4 linked regions of the Elephas maximus indicus genome follow. The protein of the gene in region 1 interacts with the protein of each later gene in a pairwise test. Links are inferred from orthologs where the notes say so. Each region holds a gene or a part of one and is shown on either strand. Other genes may lie near its edges.

Region 1 (7,854 bases):
ACAAGGACAAGCCAGATAAGATTGCTGCCCTGTTTCAAGAGGAGACAGATGATAAACAGGCAACAAGGTAATTTCTGATAGCAGTAAGTGCTATGAAGAAAATGAAACTCGATTAGAAGATAGGGAGTTACTGTTAGGGGAGAGGTCACAACCTCGTCTCGGTAGGCCAGGAAAGATCTTTCTGAGGATGAAGATTTTGACATGAAGATGGAAAGAGCCTAGGGGAAGAATCTTCTTAGCAGAGGAAGCAGAGCATGCGGCGTCCTAAAGGTGGGAAAGAGTGTGGCATATTTGAGAAACAGAAAGGACCATGTGGATGGAAAGCAAAGAATGAAGGGGAGAGGGGAATGAGATGAAGACAGTGGAAGAGGGCAGAGACCAGATCATGCAGAGTCTGACAGGCTATGATGGAGCATTTGATTTTATTCCAAGCGGGAAGGTTTTAACTGGATTCAGGTATGATCCACGGGATGTGAGGTCCTCAAGGGCAGGCATCATATTCTTCACATTCTGGCACCAAGTAACACCCACATGGCTGGCACCAAATAGTAATAGTCGTTCCTTTTATCCTACATTTACGCATCATGGGCCAGGCACTGTTCTCAGGGTTTAAGATTAACTCTGAATCCTCAACACAAGCCAGTGCTATTGGTTCCATTATTAGCCCCATCTTACCGACAAGGAACCAGAGCCTCCAAGAGGTCACGTAACTGGACAAGGTTACATAGGTCCTGTTAGAACTAGGATGAGAACTCACACCATCTGGTGCTGTGGAGACCCAAAGAGAAGGGGATTGGAGAGACCAGGGAAGAATTAATGAGCATCTGAGAGGGCTTAGGTAGCAAGAGGAACAAGGACAAGTCCAAGAAGCCATGCGGTAGAGCAAGGAAGACACAGCTGGTCAGACCCTGCTGGGGAGGAGAAAGACTGGGAGAGAAGACTGGAGTCCTGAAAGCTGGATGGAGTTCCTTTCTTTCTACCCACTGAACACAGCAAGGGTAGACTCTCAAACTGAGGGCCAAGCTGCCTGAGATTGCAGCCCACCCAAGGTCTTAGCTGCCCACTAAACCTGAGTTTTCTCCAACCTTACTTGGAGCTGAGAGCTCTCCCTAAACAAGTTAGAATAGCTTAAACCTCTGTGCAAAGGAGAGGCCAGAGATGAGGCCTAAGGACAGAGAAAAGGCTCCTCCTGCCTTCACAAAGGGCATGAGCTTATGAAAGCACAAGTTAAAGGGGGAGGAAAGGTGAAGAGGAAAAGCCATGGAAGAAGATCGTTGTGCTAGGCACTTTACATATATTTCCTCCTCACCAAAGTCACTGTTTCAGATGAGACGCTGAGACTCAGAGATGTTATGTAACTTGACCAAGGTCACACAGCTACTAAACCAGAATTCACGCCGGAGTCAGACTGGCTCCATTCATGCTTGGGGACTCCAGAACACAGTCATATTTCCCTGGTTTGTACTCTGATATCTCTCATCCACATTTCCCCAGGCACTGGGCTACACGCAGTGAGCCCCACTACTCATCTCCCAAGCCACCAGTCTTCCCTGGCCCTAGCAGCTTCTTTCCTGCTTAGCCTTTTCTGGCCTCCACCTATTTCCTTTGGTGTCAGTTACAGCATTCCTCTTTGAACACAGGGTTTCCTGCCCACCTCCACCTTGGACCCCAATTTGCTTTGACAGTCCCCTGGGCAGAGACCATACCAGTTACCCCACCCCCCACCCCCCACAGCTGAATGTCTATGCTCCAGGTGGCCAGCCCCCACCCCCTCCTCTGCTCTCCAGGGCTGAGGTCTGGAGGTTGGAGAACCTTCCCTAGTGGCCACTTCAGATGAGGATGGAGCTGGGATGAAGGCACTCTCCCTTCAGATGTATCTGTTCCCATACTGACCTAATGGAGTCTGGGTCTGTTCAGGATGCACCCCATCTCTGAGCCAAGCCCAGAGCCAATATGGTTCATCCCCACGTTCACCCCAGCATCTCTCCCTAACCCTCATAGGCTCCATCCCTCGCCTCTGCAGAGGGATCCTCATAGGTGCCCAGGCAATAGGGTGGTGAAAGAGCTGGCACGGGTATCCTCCCAGTGTCCTGGGAAATGCCTGGATATGTGGATCTGCGGAATGTGTACGTATGTGGCGAGGAGAGCACAGTCCAAGTCCTCAGGTTCCAAAAGGGCCTTAAATTTAGACTTCGGATGTTATCTCCTAAGGAGGTTATACACAGAGCCATTGTCTATGTGTTTGAAGTGTTAATTTGTTAAATGTAAACACTGAAAAATATACCACAGCTTTCAACACTGTTTGGTGTCTCCTTTTTTAAGGACCAGGAAACTCAGAAATGGAAGTAGGTAGGGTTCCCTCAAGCCTCTGGTGTGTGCCCAGGAGGGAGAACCAGGAGAAAGAAGTGGCTGGAAAGAAACAGGAAATCTAAGGAGTAACAATAGGAAGGGCAGAGAGGTGTGGGGGATTAAAAGAGCCCTGTCATTTCAGCTGAAACTCCTTGGGGTACAGATCCTAGTCCTTCTAAAAGAGTTTTTGCCCTTCTGTGCCCGTTGTCACCACTCCTGCTTCTCCCAGGCAGCACGGAACCAGAAGGGTTGAGGGCGGGGGACAGGCCCAGACTGGCAAAGTGTGATAGGCTACCCAACCGGCCCTTCTGCAGCTCTGGGGCCAGGAGCTCAGGCTTCACGTTCTCCTGCCAGTGCCAGAATCCATGCCCAGCCCCAGACTCCAGCCTGTTCCCCTCAGGAACAGCCTGGATAACCCTGTCATCCAAGGGAGGGGAGAGGCTCTGCAGGGGACCCCAGTAAGGCGGAAGGAGCACGCTCCCTCCCAGGGGAAAGACAGATGTGGGGCTAATGAAAGGAAGGCAGAGAGAGGCGCGGGGCTGGCGGAGGAGGGCGGGGGCGTGGCAGGGAGAGGAAAGCTCCCAGCGGGGAGCTGACCAGACCACCGGGAGATCCGCCGCGTAGTCGGGAAGACGGAGGCGCGGAGCAAAGGGGCCGGGAGGGGGAGTGCCGTTTGGCCCGAGGGTCCGGAGCTGAAACTCAACACCCGCCTTTGGAGGGATCGTCCTCCTTTCTCCTCCGCCCCCTCCCTTTTCCCCTCCCTCTTTTTCTTAATCCCCAGGACTGAGCCGCGCGTCGGAGCGGGCCGGAGGGGAGGAGGAAGAAACTGCACTGAGAGGGAGCCAGGAGCCCGGGAAAGGGAGGGTAGCCGAGAGCGGGGGGTGAGCCTGGGGGCCACGCGCGACCCCCGGAGCCTCCCAGCCCTCCTGCTTCGGGGGGGACCCTCTAAGGGTCCCTCCCCAACACCCCCCAGGCGAGTCCACAGGACCTTAGCCACTGCTCTCTTTCGCCTTCCTTTTGCTTCTTCTTTTGCTTTGTGGTCTTTCCCTTCGTTCCCAGAGACACCTGGGAGGTGCCGAGGGGCCCTGCCTAGGGTGCGTGCGAGCGTGGGCTGCGGGGCCCGCTTCGGGTGCCAGGGGGCAGAGGGTGCGAGCGGTCGTGCGCGGCCCTGCGCGCCAAGGCCGAGGGTTGGAGGAGGGCGGCGGGCCCCTCTCTGCCTGGCCGCCAGCAGGAGTTGTTCAGGCCGCCCCGCCTCTACGGGTTGTGCCTGCGTGCGGGCTGCTGCCAGGCGACAGCCGGGGGCGAAGCACCGTCGCGGCGCCCCCAGGCTCCCCAGCTTGCTTACAGCGAGCGTGCGAGCGTAAGCCCGCCGCATTGCCTGTGGTGCGAGCGTCTGGGCAGAAAGCAGCCACTCCAGCAACCCAGCCCAACGGCCACGCTCTCGGAGGCCTTTGGTGGCAGCCCGGCCTCCCCACGCTAACTTGGGCGAGTTTGAAGAGGGACAAAAGTCTCAGTTCTCGCTCTCCTGCTCTCCCAGCGGGTGCCGCCGCAGTGTCCTCCGGTGCCCCGAGCAGTGGTCTGGGAGTCCCACTCTTCTGCGCGCCCCCCGGGTGGGAAGGGTTGATCCCTAAACTCACTCGTCCAGCTCAACCGCCCCGGCGGCCTCTCCCAGCCCTTGGGGCCGCTCAGAGAGGCCTGGAGAGGCGTCGAGTACAGCCCCAGCTCCCGCCTTCTCGCCGGTCCGGGCCCTAAAAGGGAGCTTTAGGCCCATGAGGGTCCGGTAAGCCTCCGCGGCCTAGGGCAGGCAGCCCCGGGGGCCTTGCCAGCCTGGTGGCCCCCGGGACAGTACATAGCGCGCGCCTTTGGATAAGGTCCCGCAGCGACGCCCCGACCCGCCTCGCTCCTCCTCCTGCCTGGCCAGGCTGCCTCCCATTTGGAGAGTTTTGTGGATTTTCTTTCTCCTCCTCCAACTTCGGCGGAGGCCACGGCTCAGGCGCCGCAGCCGGGGGGCGCCTCCTCGCCTGGAGGCAGTGGACCATGGTGCGGGTCAACCGCTGCTGAAGTCAGCGAAACCGAGCCTGGCCTGGAGCAGGCCACGCCAGAGGCCGAGCCCATGGCCATAGCCACGTCGGTGAGTCCCATCAGTGAGAGGAGGCTGCCGAACAGCGACCTCCACAGCCTGCCATGCGGTCCTGTCACTTTTATTTCTTCCTCTCTTTGTCTCTCTCCTGGGTCCCTTTCTTCGCCAGAAGGCTGTCTCCCCTCCTCTCACTTTTGTTCCCCTTTCCTTCTCACTTATCCCCTGCGCTCCTACGGGTTCTGAGTTGCCCCTCCTCCCCTCCCCCTCCCCATTCTCCTCTATTCTTTCTGGAGGCTGCTCTTGGAGCAAGGGGAGGGGGCAAGTGTAACCAGAAACCTATCTGCTTTCCTGGGCGGGAACAGGTGGCCACTTGTGGTCGGCAGGGGCTTGTGATTGGGAGGCTAGTAAAAGGTTGGGAGGGGGCTGAAAGGATGTAGTTCAGGGAAAATGGGAGAGGCCAAAGGACTCTTAGAGGCCCATCTCTAGAGGAGGGACGGAGGAAACGGGGGAAATGGAGCAAAGAAGGACGCTCTGGCAAGAGAAAGAGAAAATAGAGGGAGGAGGGGAGGTGATGTCAGCCAGCCTCAGGCCACTTTCCGGGGACTAGGGACAAAGGGAGGAGACAGCTGGCTGGATGGGACAGTGGGAGGCGGCCTCCCAAAGAACAAGTGGTCCACGGCCACCCCCATTAAGCCAGCCATTCCCTCACAAGTCGGCTGGGCCCTTGAGAAGGGGGTAGAGCAGGGGTGGGCCACACCCATCATCAATCCGTCTATAACAACTCTGCCCATCGTTGTTGTTGTTGCTGTCGTTAGGTGCCATCAAGTCAATTTTGACTCTTAGCTACCCCATGTGACAGAGTAGAACTGCCCCATAGGGTTTTCTTGGCTGTAAGAAGCAGATTGCCAGGTCTTTCTCTAGTTTCCTGTAATTGCAAGCCTGGGTTGTTTGGCCCCATTGGACAGAATTCAAACCTAACAGGAAGGAGTACTTCACAGCCCCACCTCTGCTTTCTGTCTTATGCCCTCTGTAGCCTGAATCCAAGTGATTCCCAGGGAAAGTGAGGCTGCCACCAGTGTTCTGGCCCCCCTCTGCTTGGGAACTCTGGGAAGGAGGATTGTGAAACTGGAAAGAGAAACGGAGAGACATCCATCATCTTCCCATACCCCTGGAGGGGGCCTGCTGGGTTTGAGTTTGGCACCATCTCAGACCAAACTCCTTTTAGTTTCTCAGTCTATGTGATGGTGAGAAGACCTTAGCTCAGAGCCAGAGAGGGGGAGGTCGTAAAATAGTAGGGGCACTGTGACGTAAAGATGCTGGCTTAGGAGCCAGCTGGTCAGCTTTTAGTCCCAGGAGGTAGATTTTTTTCTTTTACTCAGAAGTGAGGAGGTCCAGGGAAATGACTTACACTAATCAGACTCTCAGAATCCTAATAACAGCTAATATTTATTGAGCATTTACTACACCTGGCACTATGCTAAGCTTTCTCGTGGGTTTTTTTTTTTTTCATTTAATGTGAAGTCCACAGTTTAATTGTTAAAATGTGTGCCAAATCATATGTTATTCAAAAGAACTTGAAAAAAAACAATATTTTTGACAGCTAGACTAAGAAATCTAACCCTTCAGTGTCCTTAAGTCATTTTTTTTTTTATTGTGCTTTAAGTGAAAGTTTACAAATCAAGTCAGTTTCTGATACAAAACCTTATATACACCTTGCTATATATTTTTTTATATATATACTCCTGGAAACCCTGGGGGAGTAGTGGTTAAGTGCTACGGCTGCTAACCAAAAGGTCGGCAGTTCGAATCCGCCAGGTGCTCCTTGGAAACTCTATAGGGCAGTTCTACTCTGTCCTATAGGGTTGCTATGAGTAGGAATCTCCTCAACAGCACTCGGTTTGGGTTTTTGGTTTTTATATACTCCTAGTTGCGCTCCCCCTAATGAGACAGCACACACCTTCTCTCCACCCAGTATTTCTGTGTCCATTCAGCCAGCTCCTGTCCCCCTCTGCCTTCATATCTCCCCTCCAGACAGGAGCTGCCCACATAGTCTCATGTGTCTACTTGATCCAAGAAGCTCACTCCTCACTAGTATCATTTTCTTCCTTATAGTCCAGTCCAATCCCTGTCTGAAGAGTTGGCTTTGGGAATGGTTCCTGTCTAGGGCTAACAGAAGGTCTCGGGACCATGACCTCCAGGGTCCTTCTAGTCTCAGTCAGACTATTAAGTCTGGTCTTTTTACGAGAATTTGAGGTCTGCATCCCACTGCTCTTCTGCACCTTTAGGGATTCTCTGTTGTGTTCCCTGTCATTGCAGTCCTTGGTTGTAGCCAGGCACCATCTAGTTCTTCTGGTCTTAGGCTGATGTAGTCTCTGATTTATGTGACCCATCCTTTCTCTTGGGCTCATGCTTACCTTATGTCTTTGGTGTCCTTCATTCTCCTTTGCTCCATGTGGATTGAGACCAACTGATGCATCTTAGATGGCTGCTTGCTAGCGTTTAAGACCCCAGACACCACTCTCCAAAATGGGATGCAGAATGTTTTCTTAATAGATTTTATTATGCCAATTGACCTAGATCTCCCAAGAAACCATGGTCCCCAAACCTCTCATGGGTTTTTGATGCATTATCTCACCCACAACCTCACAAAAACCCTATGGGGATAGTAGTATTATTATCCGAGTTTTACACAGGAGGAAACTGAGGCTCAGAAAGCCTAAACAGCCTGCTCAAAGTCACCCAGCTAGAAAGGGACAGAGCTAGGACTCAAACCCAGGTCTGCCTGCCTCTGGAATCATACTCTTAACCCCCTGGCTAGATCTAAAACACCAGTTTATAATTTACATTTAGAAAGAAACATGCTGAGCTAGCCAGAAATCTATGTCATCTGGTTTGCATGTTTCCATTCTGTGGAACAATATCCTTTAGAAGCCAAAATATAATGAAAAAATGGTTTGATGAGTTTGGAGTCAGGCAAGAGGAGAAGTTAGTTTGTTGTTAAAGTCAACCAGCCGTGAAGGGCTGGACAACCTCTCCACAGAGGGAAACACCCACCAGAAGGCACATGCACTCATGCCGAAGGAACAGGGCAACCTCCCCAGGGCCTGATGGTCAAATGCAGCCTGTTTGAGGTCTTCAGCTTGGGATTTTTTACTGAGTTGGTCAGCACACGGGGATTACCTAGTCAGTACTCCCAAACTACCTGCTGTCCACCACCACTGCCTGGGGCCCTGCCAGCAGCCATGGTCACTTAGCTATCATAACTTAAGCAGAACAGGTAATTTGGCATTTTGAGTGGTTTAAACTTGATTCTGCCAAAGGATATCCTGGAACCCGAGCACTGTGAAGGGTTACTAGCAAAGGGAAATTGGGCATAATGAAGCCTCCATGTGCCCTTGACTCATGTTTGAGTCATGGACTCTCGA
Region 2 (8,030 bases), on another chromosome or scaffold:
CAGCTCAAAAAATGTAATCAATGTCACTGAGTTGTACATGTAGAAATTGTTGAAATGGTGTACGTTCTGCTGTGTGTATTCTCAACAACAACAAAAAATGGATCTGACCCTAGAAGATGACAGAAGAGAAGAGAGGTAGACTCACCAAGCATTTCTATTAAGTCACTGACACCTTCAAGAAAAGCACAGCAAGACCAGACTTAATGGTCTGACTGAGACTAGAGGGACCCCAGTGGTCATAGTCCCGAGACCTCCTGTTAGCCCAAGACAGGAACCATTCATTTCCAAAGCCAACTCTTCAGACAGGGATTGGGCTGGACAATGGGATAGAAAATGATACTGGTGAAGAATGAGCTTCTTGGATGAAGTAGACACGTGAGACTATGTTGGCATCTCCTATCTGGAGGGGAGATGAGAGGGCAGACTGGATCAGAAGCTAGCCAAGTGGACATGAAAAGAGACAGTGATGGGAAGGAGTATGCTGTCTTATTAGGGGGAGAGCAATTAGGAGTATACAGCAAAGTGTATATAAATTTTTGTATCAGAGACTGACTTCATTTGTAAACTTTCAATGAAAGCACAATAGAAAAGAAAAGAAAAGCACAGCAACCTGCAAGCAGTCTATATTTTATGGTGAGGGGAATAAGACCAGGGCAAAAGAGGGTGGGGCAGAAGTAGAGTAACAGCTATACCGCATGTGATGTAATATCTACCAGCAGTTTCATCCAACGCTCATACCACATTTTAATCAGAGGCATGATGTGGTATTTGGACGAGAAGGCCAGCTGACCTCAAGAGAAACAACAGCCATAGCAAAATCAGATTTCTGAGTGCACATTTTGTGTGCACTCAAGTGCACAGGCAGTATTCAAATGGTTAAAATACATTTTTATTAATTTATTTTATTTGTATTTACAGACAACATGATTCCAGAGATTCCACAAGAAAGCAACTGGACGTAATAGAATTCAGCAAAGTAGCAGGGTACAAGATCAACACAAAAATAAGCCGAGTTCTCTTACGCTAGCAAGAAACTCCAAAATCAAGAAAAAAATACCATTTACAATAACCCTGAAATGATAAAATACCTAGGAATAAACATAACCAGGAATGTAAGGGATCTACACAACGAAAACTATAAAATACCACTGCAAGAAACTAAAAGCGACAGAAGAACATTCCATGCTCATGGATTGGAAGACTTAGACTTAACATAGTGAAAATGTCAACACAACTCACACTCAAGTATGGTTGTAAGCCAAGACCCCTGATAAAAAGAATCCAGGCTATGACCAGAAAAGCATTTCCACCCCCTAGCACCAGCACGGCGGACCCTGCCTGGCACTCTGAGGAAGGACACAGGGTAAGCATGTGAAGGGACACACACAGCACACAAGAGAAACATCTGACCAGAGGGAGACCCACCCTCATTGCCAACTGGAGCCAGGGTTTTCCAGGGCCATTCAAGATACCCCCAGGGGCTCCTGCAAAGTTCTGATTTGGAGGGACATGGAATTAAAGGGTTACTACGCTCCCCCACCAGAACTACTCCCCCCAACTCAGACCTAAGTGTGAGGTCTCCCAGGAAGTCTGCTTCCCCAAGTACAAATGGCTGGTCCCTGCTTGACCGGCCTCAGAGCTCCCATACTAGTGGGGCTTACCACACAGTAGTGAAAATGTTGATTTACACCTGGTCTCTGCTTCCACACCCAACCAGAAACCAAACCTGTTGCAGTCCAGTTGATTCTGACTCATAGCGACCCCATAGAACAGAGTAGAACCGCTCCACAGGGTTTCCACGGAGCGCCTGGTGGATTTACACTGCTGACTTTTTGGTTAGCAGCCATAGCTCTTAACCACTATGCCACAGGTTTCCGCTTCCACACCAGGTACTCCTATATGGAGCAGTTGTTTTCTCTTCTCCATCGTTTGAGTATTCCTAACGCTGGGCATGCAGCGAGCACTAACAGATACCTTCTAAATTGCTGCTGGCTGGCTGACAATTCTGTGGACAGAATGGTAAGGCAAAAGCAGCCTGGGACATTGGTCACCAGTACCAGTCAGGCAAGAGATGCTAGACCTGGAATCAGTGGACCCCAAAAAAGACAGGTACCTTTACCTCTCAAGCCCAGTGACCCAATCTGCCAACCTGGGGCCTGATTACTGGGACCCAAGACATGACGACCTTCACTTCTCCACAGGTTTATACATGCAGTGAGCAATTAATCACAAGAACCCACACAGCCCATATCGTAACCTCCCTCCACAGGTGCCTCTGTCCTGGCTTCCGTTCCCCCCAAGACACACTCACAACCAGTCATCTCGCCACCCAGAAAGCAGTGAGCAACCAGCTCTACTAGTGGAACAAGAAAAGGATCACTGAAGACTCTGGGTTGAGCATGGGCCCATGGCCTTGGCTACCATGTAGACACTGGGGAGGAGGCAGAGCATTCCATGCAAATGGCAAAGACAAAAAGCCCAGAGGTGCAGGAGTGGCAAAAACCCTTCCCCCTCCCCCCCCTCCCACGGCTCTACACACTAGAAGATGGTGGACACTTATGCCTTCAAGGGCCCCTTCCTCCATGGAAATAGTAAGAACTATACTTTTTGGTATAAAGATGAATGTGTTAGTACATATATTCAAAAAATTTTGTTCGACCAAAAATTAGTTTTTTCCTTCTGACTTAAAACGTTTTTGAGGGCCTCTAAAGCATTGTGGTTCCCAAGCTAGCACTGTGTCTCCTAGATCACTTAGTCCTGCATGTGCGGGATTTGTGTGATTGTCTTAGAACAGTTCAAGAAGGAGGGGTACATCAGGAACAGGAGAGAAAATTTATCAGGAGCCTTCTGATTCTCCACCACAGACTCATAAAAACACAAGCTCCAGAGAAGTTCCAGAAACATTTAATCATTCGTGGCATAAACTGAGCACACCTAAATGCCTGGCACTGTTCGCGCTCTGGCGACACAGCAGCAATGCAGTCTCCAGAAGCTTGCTTCCTGCACAGGATGCTTCAAGGACTCCTAGTACTTCCTCTGGGCCCGTCTCTGAGCCGAGTACTTCTCAAGCGCAACACCTGAGTGACAATAAGGACACAGCTACCGCTTTATAGCCGAGGAGTTCCTAGGACTGAGACGCCGGCATGAAGCCACTGCCGGGCGGAAGCATATGAAACCAGGTGCCTCCACGAGCTGCGCTCTCGCCCCCACCCCCAAGCCTGACACCAGACGCTGGACCCGCAAGGAGGGAATGCTTAAGAGTTGCAGCTCCTCGTCTAAAGGACTCCCAGGCCCCAGAAGTAAAGTCGAGTCATGCAAATCATTCCCGCTTTCATCAATCTCAAAGCACGCAGCTCTCAATAAACGTGGATCCGAAGGGAACATCCCCCGAGAACAAATTTCCACGATGTATAAGGCGTCTGGACCCAGGTAAAACTCACAGCTCGGTACCGGGAGTGGGGCGCGTGGCTGCCCGAGACCCAGGCCTCGGCCGGCCCCTTCCCGTTGGAAGGAGATCCCGGGAAGACCCTGGCCGCGCCGCCGCACCCCCCACACCGCCCCCACCGCGCCGCGCACCTGGCCGCAGCGGCTCGGTGACGGTGAGCACGAGCAGGAAAAGCAGGAGGAAGGCACCGCTGTCTGCCTTGGGCACCATTTATCCTCCGTTCATTGTCCCCGGGGCGGCCGCGTGACCCCGCGGGGAGGCCGGACTGGGCCGGGCTGAGGGGCTGGGCGCCAGGGACGGACGCGGAAAGGCAGCGTGAGAGGGCTCCGCTGGGCTGCGGCTGCGCTAGGCCGCCAGCTCGCGGGCACACTAGTTCTTAGCCTCTGGCTCCGACTCCGGCTCCGGCTCCACACAAGATGGCGGCCGTCCTGTTCGGCGCCGCGCTGCGCCGCCCCGCCTCGCCTCCCGCCGCGACGCCGGCGTGGGCCAATGGACACAGGGGCGGGGCGGGGACCGCGTTCCCAACCGCTTGAGGACCATTGGCTCAGGGGGCGGGGCCTGGGTGGAGGGCGGAGCCTGAGCGGCAGTGGCTCGGCAGGAGGGGCCTAAGGGAAAGACGGTGGGGGCGGGGACTAAGGGGCGTGCCCGAACGGAAGGGGCAGGACTACAGGGAGAGTAGCATACTATTAGCGAAGCAGACAGGTGGGACTCGGGGGCGGGACCTGAGCAGCAGAGCCTCCCAAGAGCTTCCGGTCCCAAGGCACAGGGGAGGGGCAGCGAGAGCAGGACCACAATGACGGGCACAGAAAGGGGCGGGACACAGAGGGGTGGGGCCGCGGGGCCTGTGGGCAAAGGACACGGTGGCCCGCGGGCGTGTCCACCAGGCAGAGCGTAAAGGGAAAGGGGCGGGACGCGGAGGGAGTCACGAGGGCGGTGGATGAACAGGGACCCTGGGACGGGAAGATCTTCGCACCTTGCACACCTGCAGGTCCAGTCAGCAGCCCAAGGGTGCGCCCTAAACCAAAAAATCCGTTACCATCAGGTCGATTCTGATAGCGACCCTAAAGAACAGAGTTGAACTGCCCCATAGAGTTTCCAAAGCTGTAATCTATATGCAAGCAGACTGCATCATTCTCCCGTGGAACAGCTCTAACAGACTTTTATTAGCAAGGGAGCACTTAACCACTGCGCCACCAGGGCTCCTTGGGTATGCCCTAGAGTGGTCGTTCTAAGTCCAAACCGCTACAGAGGGAGGAGGCAAGCTGGAGGGCCTGGGCTATCTTTAAGGAGGTTGAGGGTTGGGTGAGGAGGGTAAACCCTGACAGGCAAGTGCGGCTTCACAGCCACACACAACTCAAAATGTTGCAAACAGATGAGGAAATAGCCTAAAAGAATTGAATCAAAACAAGAAAAGTTACCAGATCCTAAAGACACTAGTGCAAAGCTGGCCTCTGGAGAAAGGGTCCTGCTACCACAAACCAAATCTGCATGGAGGAAAGCCCCATGTCTTGAGCAGCTGCTGGGACAGGGATGACAGCTGAATGGCTCTGGAAACAGTGCTCCTAGTGCAGGTCTCACACCTGTCATCAGTAACAAGGTGAATGTGGAAGGGCAGCTGCAGATGGGGGTGTCCTCAGCAAGACCACCAGCCATGTGTGAAAGGCCTGCCAGAGGGTGTCAGTGCTGGGGAAGAAGGGTTGCTGAGAAAGGGGGAAGGGCCAAGGTTGGTGGGGACCTGGCACGCCCCAGCCCGGCAGACTTCCACCCCACTGCCCAGAAGCAGCCCTCCCATGCCCCTTACACAGCTGGGGGCAGCTGAGAGAGGGGTGCCCATTCAACCTGGGTGGGTAAGGCCACAGTCGAACACCACGTGAGGCCTGGAGCATGCGGTGGACAAAGGACCTATCCCAGCAGAGGGGCCCCACTGCCCAAGGAAACAATGTCCCCTGCCCAGTGCTGCCCTTGTTGTTTGTACCTTCAAAGTACATACCCAGGAGCAGCTGCTGGCACCCAGAGCAGGATCCAGTCCCAGCCTTCTGACCCGGCCTGCTCTAGGAGCCCAGCCAAGGAAATGGGCTGGGCAGGGCCTGCAAGGGGCCTCAAAAGCCAGGAGCAGAAGTTCCCATCAGTTGTCCCCCACAGAGCCACTGCCAGAGAAGCAGGCCCACAGAGCTTCAGATGAGGAACAAGCAGCACAGGAAGGTGGAAAGTCCAGCCACAAAGTTCAGGGAGAGAGCAATCCTGGCTTCTTCCTACAGCAGCAGCTACTGCTGGGCCTCCTGATTCACCTCCACACTCTATACCCTGCTGGGAGGCTGCCTGTGTGGGCCGGCCACGTGGGATCCCCAGCAGGAAGGTGGAGGCAAAAGAGGTCAAGGAACTGCTCCCCCTTTGTCCCCCCCTTTCTTCCTCTGGGGACACTGCAGGCTGGCTTTTTCCCTCCCTCTACTGAAGATCACTGCCTCTTTCCAGGTAGCCCAGGTTCCAGTGATCATTCCCTCCCTCCTTCCATGTGGGCCAGGGGTCATTACTAGCCTCAGGGTACTGCACTCTGCCCCCACCTTTGTAAATAGTCCCATTATTAAGCCTCCTCAGATGATCTTAATCTGAATATGTCTTCAATTTCCTGCTGGGACCATGACTGATACAGCCCTGGGATTCCTGGAATGCCCCAATTTGCAATCATCACCCCATCGGTTCACAAGCAGTCCTGGCTCTGGGCCAGGGAAGCATGGGCACACCCATGAATCCCCATAGCCCCTACCTCCAATCCCAGGCTGGCATGAGACCACTCTCTGCAGGCTTTTGGTCCACTCCAGCACACTGCCCGGCCTTCTAGGTTTCCAAGGCCAAGCAGCACAGGCCAGAGCCTCATTCCCCCAGGGCACTCCTCCTTTGTGACTTCACCCACTGAAGTCACCTGGGAGACAATGCTGAAAGTTCCAACCCAGACTTGGCCTCTAGGAGGCAGAGACAGGGCTGGGCCAGCCCAGAGGACTCTCTGTCCACAGTGTAAATGAGGATACTGCTGGCCCATGTCCCGCAGGGATGTAGAGGGCAGCCCCAGAGGCACTGGGCGCTCCCGGCACCATGGATGACGCCGCCGTCCTCAAACGACGAGGCTATATCATGGGGATAAATTTGGGAGAGGGCTCATATGCAAAAGTCAAGTCTGCTTTCTCCGAGCGCCTGAAGTTCAATGTGGCGGTCAAGATCATCGACCGCAAGAAAGCCCCCACAGACTTCTTGGAGAAATTCCTTCCCCGGGAAATTGAGATTCTGGCCATGCTAAACCACCGCTCCATTGTCAAGACCTACGAGATCTTCGAGACTTCTGATGGCAAGGTCTACATCATCATGGAGCTCGGGGTCCAGGGCGACCTCCTTGAGTTCATCAAAACCCGGGGAGCCCTGCACGAGGATGATGCGCGCAAGAAGTTCCGCCAGCTCTCCTCAGCCATCAAATACTGCCATGACCTGGATGTTGTCCACCGAGACCTCAAGTGCGAGAACCTTCTCCTAGACAAGGACTTCAACATCAAGCTGTCTGACTTTGGCTTCTCCAAACGCTGCCTGCGGGACGACAGTGGCCGACTCACGTTGAGCAAGACCTTCTGTGGGTCCGCGGCATATGCAGCCCCCGAGGTGCTACAGGGCATCCCCTACCAGCCCAAGGTGTATGACATCTGGAGCCTGGGCGTGATCCTCTACATCATGGTCTGCGGCTCCATGCCCTACGACGACTCCAACATTAAGAAGATGCTGCGCATCCAGAAGGAGCACCGTGTCAACTTCCCCCGCTCCAAGCACCTGACAGGTGAGTGCAAGGACCTCATCTACCGAATGCTTCAGCCAGACGTCAACCGGAGGCTGCACATCGACGAGATCCTCAGCCATTGCTGGGTGCAGCCCAAGGCACGGGGCCTGTCCTCCGCGGCCATCAATAAGGAGGGGGAGAGTTCCCGGAGCACCGAGTCCCCATGGACCCCTGATCCCATTTCTGACAAAAAGTCTCCCACCAAGCTGGAGCCACGGGAAGAGGCTGGGCCCAAAACAAGTCCTGAGGAAGAGTCAGTGGAAGTGTCAAGGCAGTCGGAGACCCTGGGCTTCAATGGTGAGCGTGTGGCCAGTGAGCCTGAGGAGGGGGCTCCCCAGCCCCCACAGCAGCCTTCAGAGACGCACAGCCAGTAAGCCTCTCGGCCCAGGGCGCCAGCAGGGAAAGAAGCAGAGCTCACGGCGTCCAGTCCGAGCTCAGAAGAAACCAAGGGACAAGCCAGAAAATGAGCACAGTCCCTGATGAGCCACTATTTTCATTAGCTTTTCCTCCCTTCGTCTGCATTCCATAACCCACATGGCTAAAGAAGCAATAAATTACAGACTATATTAGTGCTGATCCGTAGGTGAATGTCTTTACTCAGCTAAATGCGGTCGCCCAGGGAGAGGAGCCTGGGCTGTCCCTGGCTTCCTACTCTAGGTTTGGGAAAATACATGCCAATGTGTCCAGCCCAGACTGTGATCTCAGGCCCAGGCTGCACAAGTCAGGTGGGGGCGGGAGGTCTGGAGGAGCAACTCCCAGAGCAGAGAG
Region 3 (8,208 bases), on another chromosome or scaffold:
CTCAAACACATACTTGTATACACCAGTGTTCATTATAGTACTCTTCACAATAGCCAAAAGGTAGAAACAACCTATATGCCCATCAACAGATGAATGGATCAACAAAATGTGGTACATACATACAATGGAATACTACCCAGACAGTAGGAGAAATAAAGTCTTGATACACTACAATATGGATGGAGCTGGAAGACATTATGCTGAGTAAAATAAAGAAATCACGAAAGGACAAATATTGTACGACCTCACTTATATGAAAAGGCAAATGTATAGAGACCCAAGTTTATTAGTGGTTACCAGGAGTGGGAGGAAGGGGGAAAGGGGGTCTTAACAGTGATGGAAATATCTCATTGATTAAGGGTGGGGTTGCACAGCTGATTATTGTCATTGCTGTCAGTAAGTTGTATACCTGTGTTATGAATTGAACTGTGTCCCCCAAAATGTGTCAACTTGGCTACGCTATGATTCCCAGTATTGTGTGATTGTCCACCATTCTGTCATCTGATGTGATTTTCCTATGTGTTGCAAATCCTACCTCTGTGATGTTAATGAAACAGGACTAAAGGCAGTTATGTTAATGAGGCAGGACTAAATCTGTATGATTAGGTTTTGTTTTAAGTCAATCTCTTTTGAGATACAAAAGAGGGAAGTGAGCAGAGAGACTTGGGGGCCTCATACCACCAAGAATGCTGCGGCGGGAGCAGAGCGTGTCTTTTGGGCCTGGGCTTCCTGTGTGGAGAAACTCCTAGACCTAGGGAAGATTGATGACAAGGCCCTTCTTCCAGAGCTGACAGAGAAAGAAAGCCTTCCTCTGGAGCTGGTACCCTGAATTCGAACTTCTGGCCTACCAGACTGAGAGAGAATAAATTTCTCTTTGTTAAAGCCATCCAACTGAGATATTTATGTTATAACAGCACTAGATGACTAAGACAACCTGTAAAAAGTTGAATTGGCAAAAATTGTGTGATAGATAGACTTACAAGAAGCGCTCCCCCCCCCCCCCAAAAAAAAAAGAGTAGCTGCTGAGGCTGCTTATGTACAACCAAACACCTCGGGGATTTGGTTCCTTGGTTTGGAGGTTTAGGGTCATGGTTTCATGGGACATTCCAGTTAATTGACATAACAACATGTTTAGTGCTTCTGTTCTTCCTCCTACTTCATGGCATAGTGCCTGGAGTCTTAAAAGCTTGCAAGGAGCCATTCAAGACACAACTGGTCTCTACTTACCTGGAGCAACAGAGGAAGGAGGAGAGTCAGGAACAGGAGGATACGGAATGTGTGGCTAATTGCCTCCATGAACAACTGCTTCTTTTGCCATAATAACTGAAGAAATGGATGGTGCCCAGCTACCATTACTGAACATTTTGATCAAAGATTCTACGGCAGAACGCTGATGAAAAGGTGGAAAATGCAGAACAGAACTTCAAATTCCCATGGACTCTAGACTTTGCAGAGCCATGAAGGTTCGATGAACCCTGAAACTCTTGCCCTCAAATAATCTTCAAACCTTAAACCAAAAATATCCCCTAAAGTCTTCTTAAAACCAAACAATAGTTTAGCTCAAGTAGTAAAAAATGTCTACTGTGAACACTATGCTCTTTTAAGAATTATCTGTATGGGATCAAACTGACAACAGAAAGTTTACATAGGAACCTTAGGGAGCAGTGAATTTATGTCAATTGGGGAGGTACAAGTCAGAAAAGGCGGTGAGAATGGTTGCACGACTGGAAGAATGCAATCAATGTCACTAAATGGTAAATGTGGAAGCTGTTAAAAAAAAAAGTAAAAAGAGTTTTGAGGCCCCAAATGATAGCAGTAGCAGATACCAATTTTATCAACTCGATATCAACTACAAACTGTAAATCATCTGATATCCTCAGGGAGAAAAGCATCTGAACTTTCCAGCCTCATCAATACAGGGTAGCCTTTCACTAGGAGTATGTGCCAACTTCAATTCTGCCGAATGTTTATGTAGTTTATTCTTCCAATACATGCAAAGCTTTCCTCAGCAGAAGAGAACATTTGTGTCAAAACCCAAAACCAAACCCATTGCCAGGGAGTTGATTCCAACTCATAGATGAATGTTTGCACGGGGCAGTTAAAAAGAAACTCAAAATGAATAGTTTCATTACTTTAAAAAAAAATCCTAAGTAAAATGTGCTATCGAGTCTGTTTTTCATGATTGTAAGCTGCCATCGAATGTGCCGCCAACTCCTGGTCACTCCATGCACAAAGGAAAGAAAGGTATGCACGTTCAGTTGGGGATTGAACCATTGTGATCCACAGGGTTTTCACTGAATTTTCAGAAGTAGATTGCCAGGCCTTTTCCCTAGTCCATCTTAGCCTGGAAGCTCCATGGAAACCTGTTCAGCATCATAGCAACACACAGGTCCCCACTGACAGACAAGTGGTGGCTCCAAGTGAGGAGCAATGGCCAGGAATCCAACTCAGGTCTCCTGCACAAATGGCAAGAATTTTACCACTGCACCTAACACCACTTTCTCATAAAGGGTATGTGTTTATTCTGTTTAATTCATTTCACTAACAACGTGGTGCATTTTGGATTCTAAAGTACAGAATGGTCAGATTGGCATGTCCAGAATCAGCTGGCTGCAAAAATGACAGAAGCTCCCTAAGTATGAAGGACGGAAGACAATGTGGGGGCAAAATGTTGTAATTTTCAAATGACTTCAAAGAGCTGTCTGCATTTAAAAAAACAAGAGTGAAATGTTTTCAGGACTCTTTATACATTTATTTTATCCAACAGTGTTACAGATTGAATTGTGTTTCCCCCAAAATGTGTGTCAACTTGGCTAGGCCATGATCCCACTATTGTGTGATTTCCCACCATTTTGTCACCTGATGATTTTTCTGTGTTGCAAATCCTACCTTTGTGATGTTACTGAGGCAGGATTAGACGCAGGTATGTTAATAAGGCAGGACTCAGTCTATAAAATCAGGTTGTATCTTGAGTCCAATCTCTTTTGAGATACAAAAGAGACAATCTAGAAGAGAAGATGGGGACCTCCTACCACCAAGAAAGAACCAGGAGGGGAGCGTGTCCTTTGGACCTGGTGTCCCTGTGCTTAATAAGTTCTTAGACAAGGGGAAGACTGTTAACAAGGACCTTCCCCCAGAGCTGAGAGAGAGAGATAGCCTTCCCCTGGAGCTGGCACCCTGAATTTGGACTTCTAGCTGCCTAGGCTGTGAGAGAATGTTTCCCTTTGTTAAAGCCGTCCACTTATGGTATTTCTGTTACAGCAGCACTAGATAACTAAGACAGATATTCTGATTATCTTCTTCCATGAGATAGGACAGCAGTTTTCCTACTATTCTTTAAACTTTGCTCCCTTTTAGTAAACATGGAAATTGCCCGGGGCTGCCGCCATGGAATCTCCGTATCTTTTACCAGCCACTACCAGAAATGCAGAGGAGTCCCGGGGGCGGTGGCACAGTGATTAAAGCTCTAGGGTGCTAAGTGAAAGGCACTAAGGCTCTGGGGGAAAGACGTGGCAGTCTGCTTTAGAAAAGACTTACAGCCTTGAAAACCCTACCGGGCAGTTCTACTGTCTTATAGGATGGCTATGAGTCGGAATTGACTCGACAGCAACGGTGTTTTTTTTCATAGGATCGCTATAGTCTGAATCGACTGGACGGCAGGCAGTAGGGTTGGGTTTTTTTTTTTAAATACCAGAAATATTGGAGCTTCTTTTTATGTAGGCTCTGATGTAAACAGTTACTTTCAATTTTTCTTTCACCGAATGTACAACGGGCTTATAGTATTTGACTGTGCTATTTCGGAAATACGCAAACTGCCTTCCTTATACGATCCAGCCCTTCCTCCACTGGAAATTCAATCTGCTGGGAAATTCAAACTGCTCTGCAAACTTTTTCTATCAAGGGCCAGATAGTAAATATTTTCAGCTTTGAGGGCTGCCACTGAACGCTACCTTTATAACGTGGAGGCAGCCACAGAAGATAAATAAGCAAAAGTGTGTGGATGTGCTCCAATACAACTTTAGGGACAAAAGAATTTGAATTTCATCTAATTTTCACGTGTCACAAAATAATCTTTTTTAAAAATTTCTTTTCAACCATTGAAAAATGTAAAAACCATTCCTAGCTCGCGGGCATTAGTTGGTCAACTTCAGTCCTAAGAGGCATGAGACTCTGCTCCCGTCTGACACGTCCCTAGTGACGTCTCCCAACTACCAGTGCGGTATCTTGGCTGCAGTACTCCTATTTTAAAGATTACTATGTGACCTTAAAGCGCTACGCCGTCATGAGTAAACGTTCTCCTGGACAGGATATTTATTAGGCCGTTTAAGGTAGTAAGAGTCCCAAGAGGGTCTGCAAAACCCAATGTTGTCCTGAACTCCGGCGCAGGGACATTCTGGAAATACCTCCAAGCCACAGCAAGGGGGCGCGACGCGGCAGGGTCACGCAGGTACTCACCTGGCGCCAGTTCGAATCCTCCCAAGCTAAGCGGCGGAGGCGATTACCAAATGTGCGCTTGATACTAACTAACCCGCCGCTACCCACAGCTCGCTAACCGAGAGGCCCACAACCCCTCTCCCCGAGCCCACTCCCAGGTTGGAGGTGCCCAGGTAAACGTCGGCACGGGGTGGATCCTTCCTACTAAGCCCGGACGCTCCTCCAAGGTCCAGCCTCCCGTTGGGGCGGGGCGGGGCCTCGGCGAGCGTGTCCTGGCGCGCGCGACCTCGCGCGGGTCCGGCCTTCTTCCGTGAGCGGCGCGCGCGCGGGGGCCATCCTAGCCGTGCCTGCGGCGCCCTTGTTGGACTCCGCTGGTTCCGCTGCGGCGCGCGCCGCCGTGCGCGCCGCCTGTGCGCCTACCGCGGCGGGGCTGCCAGCCCGGGAGCCAATTAGCGCGCGGCGAGGCGGCGGCCACTTCCTCGTCGTCCGGGCCGCGCGCTCGGGACTGCTCTGGCGACCGCGGGGCGGGGAAGGGCACGGCGGAGCCGCTCTGCGTCCGCGCCTCCTGTTACCAAGAGTGGGCGCAGGTCCTTGAAGGCGCAGGACTGCAAACCAGACAAAAAGAAACTTCGGGTTCCCTGGAGTGTCGGCGGACGGGAAGTTTGGTTGGCTTTTTGTGCGTGGTCTTTAGGATTTGCCAGTCCAGGAAGCGAGATGTCGAAGCCTCCACCCAAACCAGTCAAACCAGGTAAGGAAGGTGGTTGCCGAGTCCTGGCTGTCTCCTCGCCCGCGTTTCCTCTGCCACTTGGCAGGGCAGACCTGGCACGTCCCCGGCCCCGAGCGTCGCTTTCGGGATCGGACCCACCAGGGTGGTAATTGCTAGCTTTGTTGCGTTTGCTATAAGGGATAGATCATTTTTGATAGCAGAAGGATTTCGAGGGTTTTATTTTTATTTTCTAAAAAGGAGTCGCCTTTTTTGCAACATTGTCATTCGCTGTAACTTTACAGCGTGTATGGTGGTTACGTCCCATTGAAGCTTTCCGGGCAGAAAGAGCCATCGATCCCATTTTATAAAAAAAAATTAAATATTTCTTGAAATGGCCTTTTAGCCACTTCCTCTTTTTTCAATATGTGTCACTGTCAAGTTAGAGTTCTTGACCGGCCAGAGCGAACGGGAAGTGCGCTGCTAGCAGGGTGGGGTGGGCGAGCGGGGCTCCTTCGGGACTTTTGAGAGGAGCCGCGTATGAAATTGACTTCGGGATCTTAGGAAGCATTTTAGCAAGCTCTGTACTGGTGCTTATGGCAGGAAGAATCTAGGCTGCGGCAGAATAATCTCGGCTGTTAGTATTCGGAAGGAATAGTTTATCGTCGTAGTTCCATGCGATGAATTTGCAGCGGATGAGATTGCTGAATTTCCCAGAGCAGCTTTCGAGACCGATAAACCAAAAACCATATGAATCTTGGCCAATAGTCCTTGGTAATTTTTGACTCTGTTCCTAGAATATTTTCGGTGATCTGGAGAAATAAGAGAAATTAAAAAGAGTCTGAGGTGTTTCAATTCCATACTGTAACAGAAATGAGGTCCTATGTACATTCATTCGGGTAGATAATTACGGAAAATGTAGGAAATGCAAGGTAAAAGGCTCCAATGTAATCCCAGGATTTTCTTCCAATCTCATGTAACTTCATTATAGAAAAGGCTGAAACTTACATCAAATTTTGAAGTAACTTTCATTGCCAAAGGTAGAGTTTCAAGGATTAAGAATTTTTTTTTTTTTAACTTTTCTATGGTTATCCAGTTTTGTTTCTCTGCAGTGGGGGTATTAAGTCTTTATAATTGAAGATTTTGTACCTACTCGCTCTGGTGGCACAGTAGTTAAGAACTACGGCTGCTAATCAAAAAAGGTCGGCAGTTTGAATCCACCAGGCGCTCCTTGGAAACCCTATGGGGTAGTTCTGCTCTGTCCTATAGAGTCACTATGAGTCGGAATACACTCAATGGCAATGGGTTTGTTTTTTTTTGGTTCGCATGGGTGGAACAGTCATTTATTGAAGACGAAAGTTTTGGTGGGTTGGGTGTGAAGGAAGCCGCCCAGGCCTTGGGGTGTGGGTGAACAGAGGGTGTGACTGGAGTTAGACTCTATTAGATGTGGAAACTGATGAGGAATTTGCATTTTAAGTACATATGCATGAGGTGAGGCCCTGGTGGCAAAGTGGTTAAGTGTTTGGCTGCTAACCAAAAGGATGGTAGTTCAAATCCACCAGCTACTCCTTGGAAACTCTGATGGGGGCAGTTCTACTCCTATAAAGTTGCTGTGAGTCAGAATCGACTGGATGGCAATGATTTTTTTGTTGTTGTTGCTTTTTTTTTTTAATGCATGCTGTGGCAGCTTTCTAAATTCAGATGTAAATCAGGACCTCAAGTATCCAACGAAGCAGAGTTTTTTAAATGATAGCTAAACAAAGTATTTTAGAGAATGTCGTGAATAGCTGTTTATGAGGTTCTTTTTATCTCCAGACATTTTAAGTGATGTCTGTGTTGCATCTGCGGGCACAGTGGTTAAGCGTTTGGCTGCTAACCAAATCCACCAGCCACTTCTAGGAAATCCTGTGGGGCAGTTCTGCTCTGTCCTGTAGGGTCTCTGTGAGTTGGAATTGACTCGGCCATTTTTTGGGGGTGGGGGGAGGTTCTGCATCTGAGTAGCTGGCTGGTGCAAACTAAAGTGCTGCTCAACTGCTAACGAAAAGGTTGAAGGTTCAGGTAGACTCAGGTGCCTTAGAGGGAAGTCCTCGTGATCTACTTCCAAAAAATCAGCCGTGAAAATCCTATGAAGCACAGTTCTTACTCTGACACACGTGGGGTTGCCATGAGTTGGGGTCAATGCGATGGCAACTTTTTTTTTTTTTTTTTGGTGCTGCATCTGGAGAGACAGTGACAGTGATGTGCGTGTACACAAACATGCACGCACAGGTATGGTTTAGGGATCATCCCTTATCCAACTAGGGATACACACTCCCAAGAATCATCCTTGTTTTCTGACCCCAGTGCTTTCTCCTACTCTGTAAATCAGAAAGCAACTGGGTGAATGAGACTTGTTTGATAGAGAACTTTGACTCCATGCGAATTTATAAATGAGGTTCGAATGCCAGTAAGGTCACCACTGTAGAAATGAGTTTGTCACTTTACTACTTTACAGTGAGAACTAGTATTCTCAATCAGACATGAATCTTTGTGTGGGCTGGCTTAATAATTAATTGAAAGCAGAACTGTCCTGTTACGGTAATGGCCCACACTTATTGTATGCCAGGAATGAGTCTAACCACTTTAACCTACATTCACTCGTTTACTCCTCAAAACAACCCTTCGAGGTTGATACCATTATCGCTGCCATTTCAAAACAACTCTGTGGTGTTGGTCCATTATTTGTTGCCTTTTTTTTTCTAGTTGCTCTTGCTTCAGCTCCAACTCATAGTGACCCCATGTGTGTCAGAGTAGAACTGTGCTCCAGTAGGGTTTTCAGTGGCTGATTTTTTGGAAGCAGATCCCCAGACTTTCTTCTGAGGTGTCTCTGGGTAGTCTCAAACCTCCGACCTTTCAGTTAGCAGCCAAGCACCTTAACAGTGTACACCATGGAGAAATGAAGGCAAGGCACAGGAAGGTTAAGTAACTTATCCAAGGTCAGCAGCTGGTGAGGAGTAGAGGGAGAGCAGAATTAGAACCCAGGTTGTCCAGCTCCAGAATCTGAGCTCTTAACCATTGTGCCGTTCTGCCGT
Region 4 (7,839 bases), on another chromosome or scaffold:
CAGGTCTTCATTTTGCAAGTCACTACCAAGGGTGAGCCGTTGTATGGATTACAACTCTTTTTTTCTCAGCTGGGAGCAGACACAGAGCCCTGGTGGTGCAGTGTTTAAAAGCTCAGCTGCTAACCAAAAGGCCAGTAGCTCAAATCTGCCAACTGCTCCTTGGAAACCCTATAGGGCAGTTCTACTCTGTCCTATAGGGTCACTATGAGTCCGAACCAACTTGAGGGCAACAGGTTTGGCTTTTTGGTTTAGTGGGCAGGAATGAGGGAGCCCTGAGTTTGGCCTAAGAGTGCCCTGGGGGGGTTGGAGGAGGGGCATATCAGTGTGGCCCTGGGCTGAAGAAGGCTCCTGGATGGTGTGGCAGGAGAGAAACAACTGGAGAACTGACCTAACTGGGTGCAGAAGAAGGCCACCTGGGCTGGGTGTCACCATAGCACCTGCCTTGCACAGTGATCAAGCCTTGACTCCATCTGGGAAAAGCGTTTTGTCCGACCGTTAACATAAAAACAGAAGTGACCTGACGATATAGAACAAGGCTACCTGGGCTGGATGTCACCGTAGCACCTGCCTGGCACAGTGCCTCATCAAGCATTGGCTCCATCCAACCGTTAGCATAAAAACAGGAGCCAACGTCTTGATCGTTAAACATCAATGGCTTCAACCGTAAAACTTACCCTCCCCTCCCACTGTCTCCAGGTCCTCAGTGCCTCCAGAACACCCATTCAGTCATGATCACTCACAGACCAAGGAAGACTCTTAAATGAAACAATGGATTTGCTACTTGTTTTAATCCTGATTGCCTTTGGTGTAGAGTGTATTTTTTATTTAAATTCAGTACAAGCTCACAGTTGAGCTACAATAACCACATGAAGGCTAGTCATTTTTCAGGATGACAAAACTACGAAGTTTGTTGAGATTGCTTTCTCATTGACACAGTGCCCGAGCACTCAATAAATGATGATGAGGCAAGCTATTTGGGCCTTTTACAGCAGGTCACTTCCAATGCCACCACAGCAGAGCGCACCCACACATGGATGCTAAGCCAGGTTGCCTGTGTGTGGGACGCGGTCCTACCCTTGGACCTGTGTGACTTTGCACCTGTCCATGCTGTTTTCACACCTGTAAAATGGGGAGAAATAACAGGACCCACCTGTGTGCTATTGGGAAGATGACCTGAGTTAGGACATGTATGGGTTTTAGAAAGAGCCTGCCATGTAGTAAGCATGCAAGTATTGACTTCAGTAAATACTATAATTGTATTGCTGGGAACTCAGGAACATTGAGATTGTATAAAAAATCATATTTTAAACTTTTCCGTGGATATTTGTTCATTAAGACTGTCAAGTAAGCTGAACTCCATTGAGGTACACACACAGAGTTTTAGTTATCTGAACCCACCAGCACTCCTCGGGAGAGAGAGGTGGCAGTCTGTTTCCATAAAGATTTACAGCCTTGGAAACCATATCGGGCCGTTCTACTCTGTCCTGTAGGGTCTCTATGAGTCGGAATCCACTGGATAGCTGTTGGTTTCGTTTGAGTTTGAGTGAGTAGGTAAAACAGTTATTTTGGTCCATCATAGACTAAGGGACAAACACACACACAGAGTCAAATATTTTAATGATATAATCCAGGGATGATAGTTTAACTAAATTTTAGCATAGAAGCAGAATACATTTTTTTCTGTGAGATAATCGTCTGATATTATTCATAACCAGGTAGTTCAATCAGAATGAGGACTAGGAGGGTCTTAGGGAAGGGGTCTGCCTGGTGTGGGTGTGTAGAATGAAGACATGGAGGGGCTTGGGGGGAGGTCTGCCTGGTGTGTGAGTACAGAATGAAGACTAGAAATGGCTTGGGGAGGGGTCTGCCTGGTGTGTGTGTGCAGAGTGAAGATTGGCAGGGGCTTGGGGAGGGGTCTGCCTGGTGTGTGTGTGCAGAGTGAAGATTGGCAGGGGCTTGGGGAGGGGTCTGCCTGGTGTGTGTGTGCAGAGTGAAGATTGGCAGGGGCTTGGGGAGGGGTCTGCCTGGTGTGTGTGTGCAGAGTGAAGATTGGCAGAGGCTTGGGGAGGGGTCTGTCTGGGGTGTGTGTGCAGAGTGAAGACTAGCAGGGCCTTGGGGAGGGGTCTGTCTGGTGTGGGTATACAGAGTGAAGACTAGCAGGGGCTTGGGGAGGGGTCTGCCTGGCGTGGGTATGCAGAGTGAAGACTAGCAGGGCCTTGGGGAGGGGTCTGCCTGGTGTGGGTATGCAGAGTGAAGACTAGCAGGGCCTTGGGGAGGGGTCTGTCTGGGGTGTGTGTGCAGAGTGAAGACTAGCAGGGCCTTGGGGAGGGGTCTGTCTGCTGTGGGTGTGCAGAGTGAGGACTGGCAGAGGCTTGGGAAGGGGTCTGTCTGGGGTGTGTGTGCAATTTGCCTCTTTTCCCCTTGTCATCAGAATCGTTCCATTTAGGAGTGGAAGCTTTCTCCCCAGATTTGCAGATATCTGAAAAAATTGTATTCTGCCCAGGAGGGAAAAAATAGCTCACTGTGATTTCTTTGAAGCAAATCTCCTGGGATGTCACAATGGGGTGTTTATTGCTGTTGGAGGCTTGAGGCTTATCTCCAGGAACAGGCACTGTGTCTCACATAAAGCCTGGGCCCTCCTTCCCAAGGCCTTGATTAGGCAGCGTCTCCTGAAGGGGTGTGAGGACCCCTGACGTGTCCCCACCCATGCCCCTCACTTCCTTCCTGATCTGAAATTCCTATCCCTGGAGTCAGTCCTGGGTTTAGAAAATACAAATGACTTGCCTTAGGTGCCTCATAGTTCACCTGAGGGGAACATGTGTTCAGCTTCTCCTGCTGGCACATTTTAAAGCCATAAATGGCCAGATACACTGCTGCACCCTACAAGCAGCAGTGAGAGGTCTCCGAAAGGTGCTCTTCAATTAGCAAAGAGTCTTGTCAATGGAAATGTGAATTGCAGAGAAAGAAAAGATTATCAAGAGCTGATATAAGGACTAGAGCCCTGGTGGTACAGTGGTTAAGAGCCGTGTCTGCTAACCAAAAGGTCAGTAGTTCGAATCCACCTTGGAAACCCTGTGGGGCAGTTCAGCTCTGTCTCACAGGGTCACTCTGAGTTGAAATTGACTCGACAGCATCAGGTTTGGTTTTTTGGTTGGTCAAGTGATTGTTTGACAAGAGGGACATGAGTCCGGCCACGTTGCACAAAGAACTGGCTTTGGGGGAGAGAAGGCACCAGAACAATTGGTGGGGGTGGGGCCGAGGCCACCTGGGGAGAACTGACCTTATAAGGCAGGAAATGGGAGGTGCGTCCCTCTTGCCTTTTATACTCCCCTCCTCTCCAATCCCACACCACACAGATATGGAAAGGACCAGAAAAGCAGAGCGGGAATGGGAATGGCGGTCACAGAGAATATTAAACTATGCTTTTTGCTCTACTCCATGTTTCTATTTAATTAAAATGCTGGTCAGTGGTCACACATGAAGCTTTGTTAGAAAAACATTGTATTAGATAAGGGGCAAAGAAAGAGAAAATGAATCAACAAAACGAATCAGGGGCTATCAAAGCCGTCCTGCCTGCTTCATGCCCACCTGAGACCAACCTGGGTGACCCAGCCTAGATTTACCCTCTTCCAGACATTACTAAGGAACCCTGGTGGCACAATGGTTAAGCTAACCAAAATGTTGGAGGTTCGAACCCCCCAGTGGCTCCACAGGAGACAGACCTGGTGATCTGCTCCCATAAATGTTGTTGTGTTGTTATTGTGTGCCGTCGAGCTGATTTTGACTCAGCAACCCCTGTGACAGAGCAGAACTGCCCACCGGGCTTCCCAGGCTCTAATCTTTATGAGGCAGTTCTACTCCGGCATTAGGGCCACCATGAATCAGAATAGACAGGATGGCACACATCAACAACGTAACTACTAAATGGCGACCGATTGTGGTACGTAACAAACTAAAAATAATGACAGGGATTTTGCAGAGTTTCCTTTTCAGGATTTTTTTTTTCTGAAAAATAGGTACCAAAGTTTGTAAAGAAAAAGGTATACAGTGATATAGTTATGTCTTCCTCCGTTTGGTCTCGATGCTATTTTGGCTGTTTTGTGACTCAGGGCAGATCCCGCCCACCTACTTATTATAATATTTCTTTTCTAGAGCCAGAATAGGACAGACTCCTATACCGTTCTGATCTGGGTGCATTTCTTCAGCAGGTATGCTGTACTCCTGGGGAACTGTGTCTGTCTGGGCCTGGGGCTGACAAGGCCAGGAGGAAATCTATGTCTGCGTTATATCAGAAAGATTTCTCAGTCAAGTTAAGAAAATAAAATGGTGGGCACCAAACAATGTGAGGGTCCTCTGACCTCGCCTTGACATGTTCTTCTCTTAAGTTTCCAGCAGAGTCTGTGGCTCGAGACTCTGCACAGAAGCACTCAGTTTAAGCTGATACATTTGAAGGAGTTATAGGAAGCCAACGGGAACCAGGAAAGCAAAAAAAAAAAAAAAAAACCCACTGCCATCAAGTCTATTCCAACTCATAGCAACCCTATAGGACAGTGTTAAAACAACAACAACAACAAACTCCTTGCCATCGAGTCGATTCCGACTTATAGCGACCCTATAGGACAGAGTAGAGTAGAACTGCCCCGTATGGCTTCCAAGGAGCGGCCTGATGGATTCAAACTGCCGGCCTTTTGGTTAGCTCTTAACCATGTGATTGGGGAGAGGGCTTATTTCAGTGAAATATTTATCCTGGGGTCATCGGGAGCATTGTAAGGAAACTAACCTTACACCCTTTCCCTGAGAAGCCTTCTTTTTGGTACTCCTCAGTAACAGCCATTTCCCACGAGCCTCTACCTGTTAGGGCTGATGCCTCTTGCTCATTGCGGCTTCACGAAGGGACAGGAAATGCTCACGTCACCACGCCCAGCCCTGCTACCAGCTCTCTACACCCCTCCAAAAAGAAAAACCAATGTTTCAAAGTAGGCTCGTTACAGTGAGCTGATAAAGAGAAGAGGAGGGAGAAGAAGGGAAGGTCTCCTACTGGCTAATCTTTACCTGATAGATCAAACGCTGCCCTTCCTCCCCCTTTACTGAGACCTACTGATACCAGGTTACTAGGTGGTCTCTGGGCTGGCAGCTGAAAATTTAGTTTTTGTGGGTAAAAAGAAAAACATTAAAATCAAAGTGAGATGTCTGTTATTTATTTTTCTCTTTGATATTACCATGCAAACAATTTATATGAGCATCAGTCTCCACTGAACTTCATTTTCTACCAATACATTACTTTTAAAAAGACAATTTTGACTTCCTCAGTTGTAAATCAGGTTTTAAATGTACATATTTTTCAAGAAAAGAGGTCAGAATTGATAAAATTCATTATCTGCCATAGGGCTAAATTGTTTTTTTGTTTTCTTCATTGTGGCCTGTTATTAAATTCTTCTTTGGTGTCATTCACCACCAGCTGTGCGGTACTCTCAGTCCTCCATCCGCACATTGATTTGAATGGATACCTAACCCCAAACCCAGTGCTGTCAAGTCAATTCCAACTCATACGGACCCTATAGGACAGAGTAGAATTGCCCCATAGAGTTTCCAAGGAGCGCCTGGCGGATTCAAACTGCCGACCCCTTTGGTTAGCAGATGTAGCGCTTAACCACTGCACCACCAGGGTTTCCAGTGGATACCTAGTGAGAACAAAAAAAGGGACAGTCTACTTTCTAAAAGCCAGTGCTTAGTCATTGCATCAGACTTTGTATAAGGACGAAAAGAATCCTACGGAAAAAATAAATACCAAAAGGCTTAGTTCGGTATGACAGTGCAAAGACATTTTATAAATATTTTGATAAGTAGATACAAGAGGGTGATTTGTGAGGGGGTTATTTGCATTATGCTACATCTCAACGTTAGTTGAAATTCCTCATTTGCATTAAGTATCTGAGTTGTTTTCCGTTTGGAGGAATGTTCTAGGATCCAGCTCTTCAAGTCCCAAACCAAAAAACCAAACCCTTTGCCGTTGAGTCAATTCCGACTCATAGCAACCCTACAGGACAGAGCAGAACTGCCCCATAAGGTTTCCAGGGAGCGCCTGGTGGATTCACACTGCCGGCCTTTTGGTTAGCAGCCATAGCTCATAACCACTGGGCTACCAGGGAACCCTGCCCACCTTACATCCTAGGTGGGCAGTATTATCAGTGTCTGTATTTGAATCTGTCAAGAGGAAACTGTGTATTGAGCTAAGCTCTGTGTATCATTCACCAAGGAAAGGATTTAAGTTAACCACCAGGGCTGAGCTTAAAAAAACAAAAGCCATTAAAAGGGCGTGGGTGCTTGACCTTGAGGAAAACCTATAGAAAAAGGAGTGGCAAGAGCCATTTGTTCTCTAGCAGAAGAAAACCACCCTGTTTGGAGGTCTCCTTGTGAAAAATACTCAAGGGATACTGATTTTTTTTAAGATATAACTTTATCATTGTGTCAGTAACAATGGGGTTTGGATAGAACACAGACACACAGCTAGGCCAGGACATGCCTACTCCAGGCTTCATGAGGGCTGGTACTTGCTCACCTGTTGTCAGATGGCAGGCTAGGTGCCCAGCGCCCCCTCCCAAGGGTCTGAGCTTGTGACCGCAGGGGCAGGGCCCTGGGCTGCACCATCCAGGTATTCTGGCTCTGATGCGCCTGATACAAACTTCACCACTGCACCCTGGGCCTCCTCCCAGAGGCTGCGGCAGTTCCAGGAGGAAGCTCTGCCGGCCCTTTCTGGGAAGAGCTAACGGAGACTGACTCGCTCAAGGACGCCTTGTCAGCCACGGAAACGATGAGTCACGAGCTTTCTATCACAGTTCATTGAATGCATGCTCTGCCCCTTTGCTCTAAAGATTCCTAAGTGCTAAAAGTTGTCTCAATTGTCCTAACAGTGCCCTGGGAATAAGAGAAGGCAGATTTCACAAAAGAAAAAAAGGGGCTGATGTTTTCTGAGGGGCTTCAGTGGCACTGGGAGGGTGGGGAACAGATCCAGGACAGTGGAGGCCCCAGGCTCCCAGGCCAGTGCTCTACCCCACCAAGCTGCACCAAAGAAAAATGCTTTGATAATATAGACTACAATGAAGAAAAGAATTTTTAAAAAATTATTCAGCCTATCCCCCAGATGATAAGATGAACATTTAGGGAGGTTTCTCTCATTTATTCTTTTAAATTCATGTTTACTTTATAAAAAGACAAAATTGAATTTGCACTGTCTATATTTTTTTTATATTGATTTGCTGGTGTAGTGGTTAAGCTACAGCCCCTAGCCAAAGGGTGGGCAGTTCAATCCCCCAGGCGCTCCTTGGAAACTCTACGGGGGCCGTTCTACTCTGTCCTATAGGGATCGGAATTTACTTATTTACTGAAAAAATGGCCTGTGAGGCTAGCGAATTTACATTTTCAAAGAATATGTAATGTTATGGAAAAATATTCTAGAAACACTGAAATGAAAGTCAATATGCAAATCAATACCCACTAAAACCCACTGCTGTTGAGTCGATTCCGACTCATAGCAACCCTATAGGACAGAGTAGAACTGCCCCGTAGAGTTTCCAAGGAGCGCCTGGAGGATTTGAACTGCAGACCTGTTGGTTAGCAGCCATAGCTCTTAACCACTACACCACCAGGGTTTCCTGCAAATCAATATACCAAAAACCAAAACCAAACCCAGTGCCATCAAGTCGATTCCGTTTTTGGTATATTGATTTGCAGGAAACCCTGGTGGTAAATTCGCTAGCCTCACAGGCCATTTTTTCAGCAAATAAGTAAATTATTTTCAGGAAAACTTATAGGGAGTTACTGCAGTAAATAAGGAAATTT

The links.
Region 2: the proteins of EFS (region 1) and TSSK1B interact in binary tests that used the Homo sapiens proteins (3 or more experiments, as listed by UniProt). The two-hybrid records come from large-scale screens. The link is inferred for Elephas maximus indicus from reciprocal best matches to the Homo sapiens genes EFS and TSSK1B.
Region 3: the proteins of EFS (region 1) and OSTF1 interact in binary tests that used the Homo sapiens proteins (3 or more experiments, as listed by UniProt). The two-hybrid records come from large-scale screens. The link is inferred for Elephas maximus indicus from reciprocal best matches to the Homo sapiens genes EFS and OSTF1.
Region 4: the proteins of EFS (region 1) and SORBS2 interact in binary tests that used the Homo sapiens proteins (3 or more experiments, as listed by UniProt). The two-hybrid records come from large-scale screens. The link is inferred for Elephas maximus indicus from reciprocal best matches to the Homo sapiens genes EFS and SORBS2.

What each region holds. Positions count from the first base shown.
Region 1 is NC_064828.1:34,695,080-34,702,933, reverse strand, and holds the start of EFS (embryonal Fyn-associated substrate), read left to right. Parts: upstream 1-4,234; 5' UTR 4,235-4,462; coding exon 4,463-4,480; intron 4,481-7,854. UniProt on the Homo sapiens protein: Docking protein which plays a central coordinating role for tyrosine-kinase-based signaling related to cell adhesion. May serve as an activator of SRC and a downstream effector. Interacts with the SH3 domain of FYN and with CRK, SRC, and YES.
Region 2 is NC_064840.1:34,810,490-34,818,519, reverse strand, and holds TSSK1B (testis-specific serine/threonine-protein kinase 1), read left to right. Parts: upstream 1-4,843; 5' UTR 4,844-6,535; coding exon 6,536-7,636; 3' UTR 7,637-7,830; downstream 7,831-8,030. Other genes in the region: DGCR2 (integral membrane protein DGCR2/IDD), read right to left, coding at 3,577-3,655. UniProt on the Homo sapiens protein: Testis-specific serine/threonine-protein kinase required during spermatid development. Phosphorylates 'Ser-288' of TSKS. Involved in the late stages of spermatogenesis, during the reconstruction of the cytoplasm.
Region 3 is NC_064827.1:91,299,652-91,307,859, forward strand, and holds the start of OSTF1 (osteoclast-stimulating factor 1), read left to right. Parts: upstream 1-4,937; 5' UTR 4,938-5,148; coding exon 5,149-5,182; intron 5,183-8,208.
Region 4 is NC_064840.1:80,608,453-80,616,291, forward strand, and holds the start of SORBS2 (sorbin and SH3 domain-containing protein 2), read left to right. Parts: upstream 1-4,152; 5' UTR 4,153-4,208; intron 4,209-7,839. UniProt on the Homo sapiens protein: Adapter protein that plays a role in the assembling of signaling complexes, being a link between ABL kinases and actin cytoskeleton. Can form complex with ABL1 and CBL, thus promoting ubiquitination and degradation of ABL1.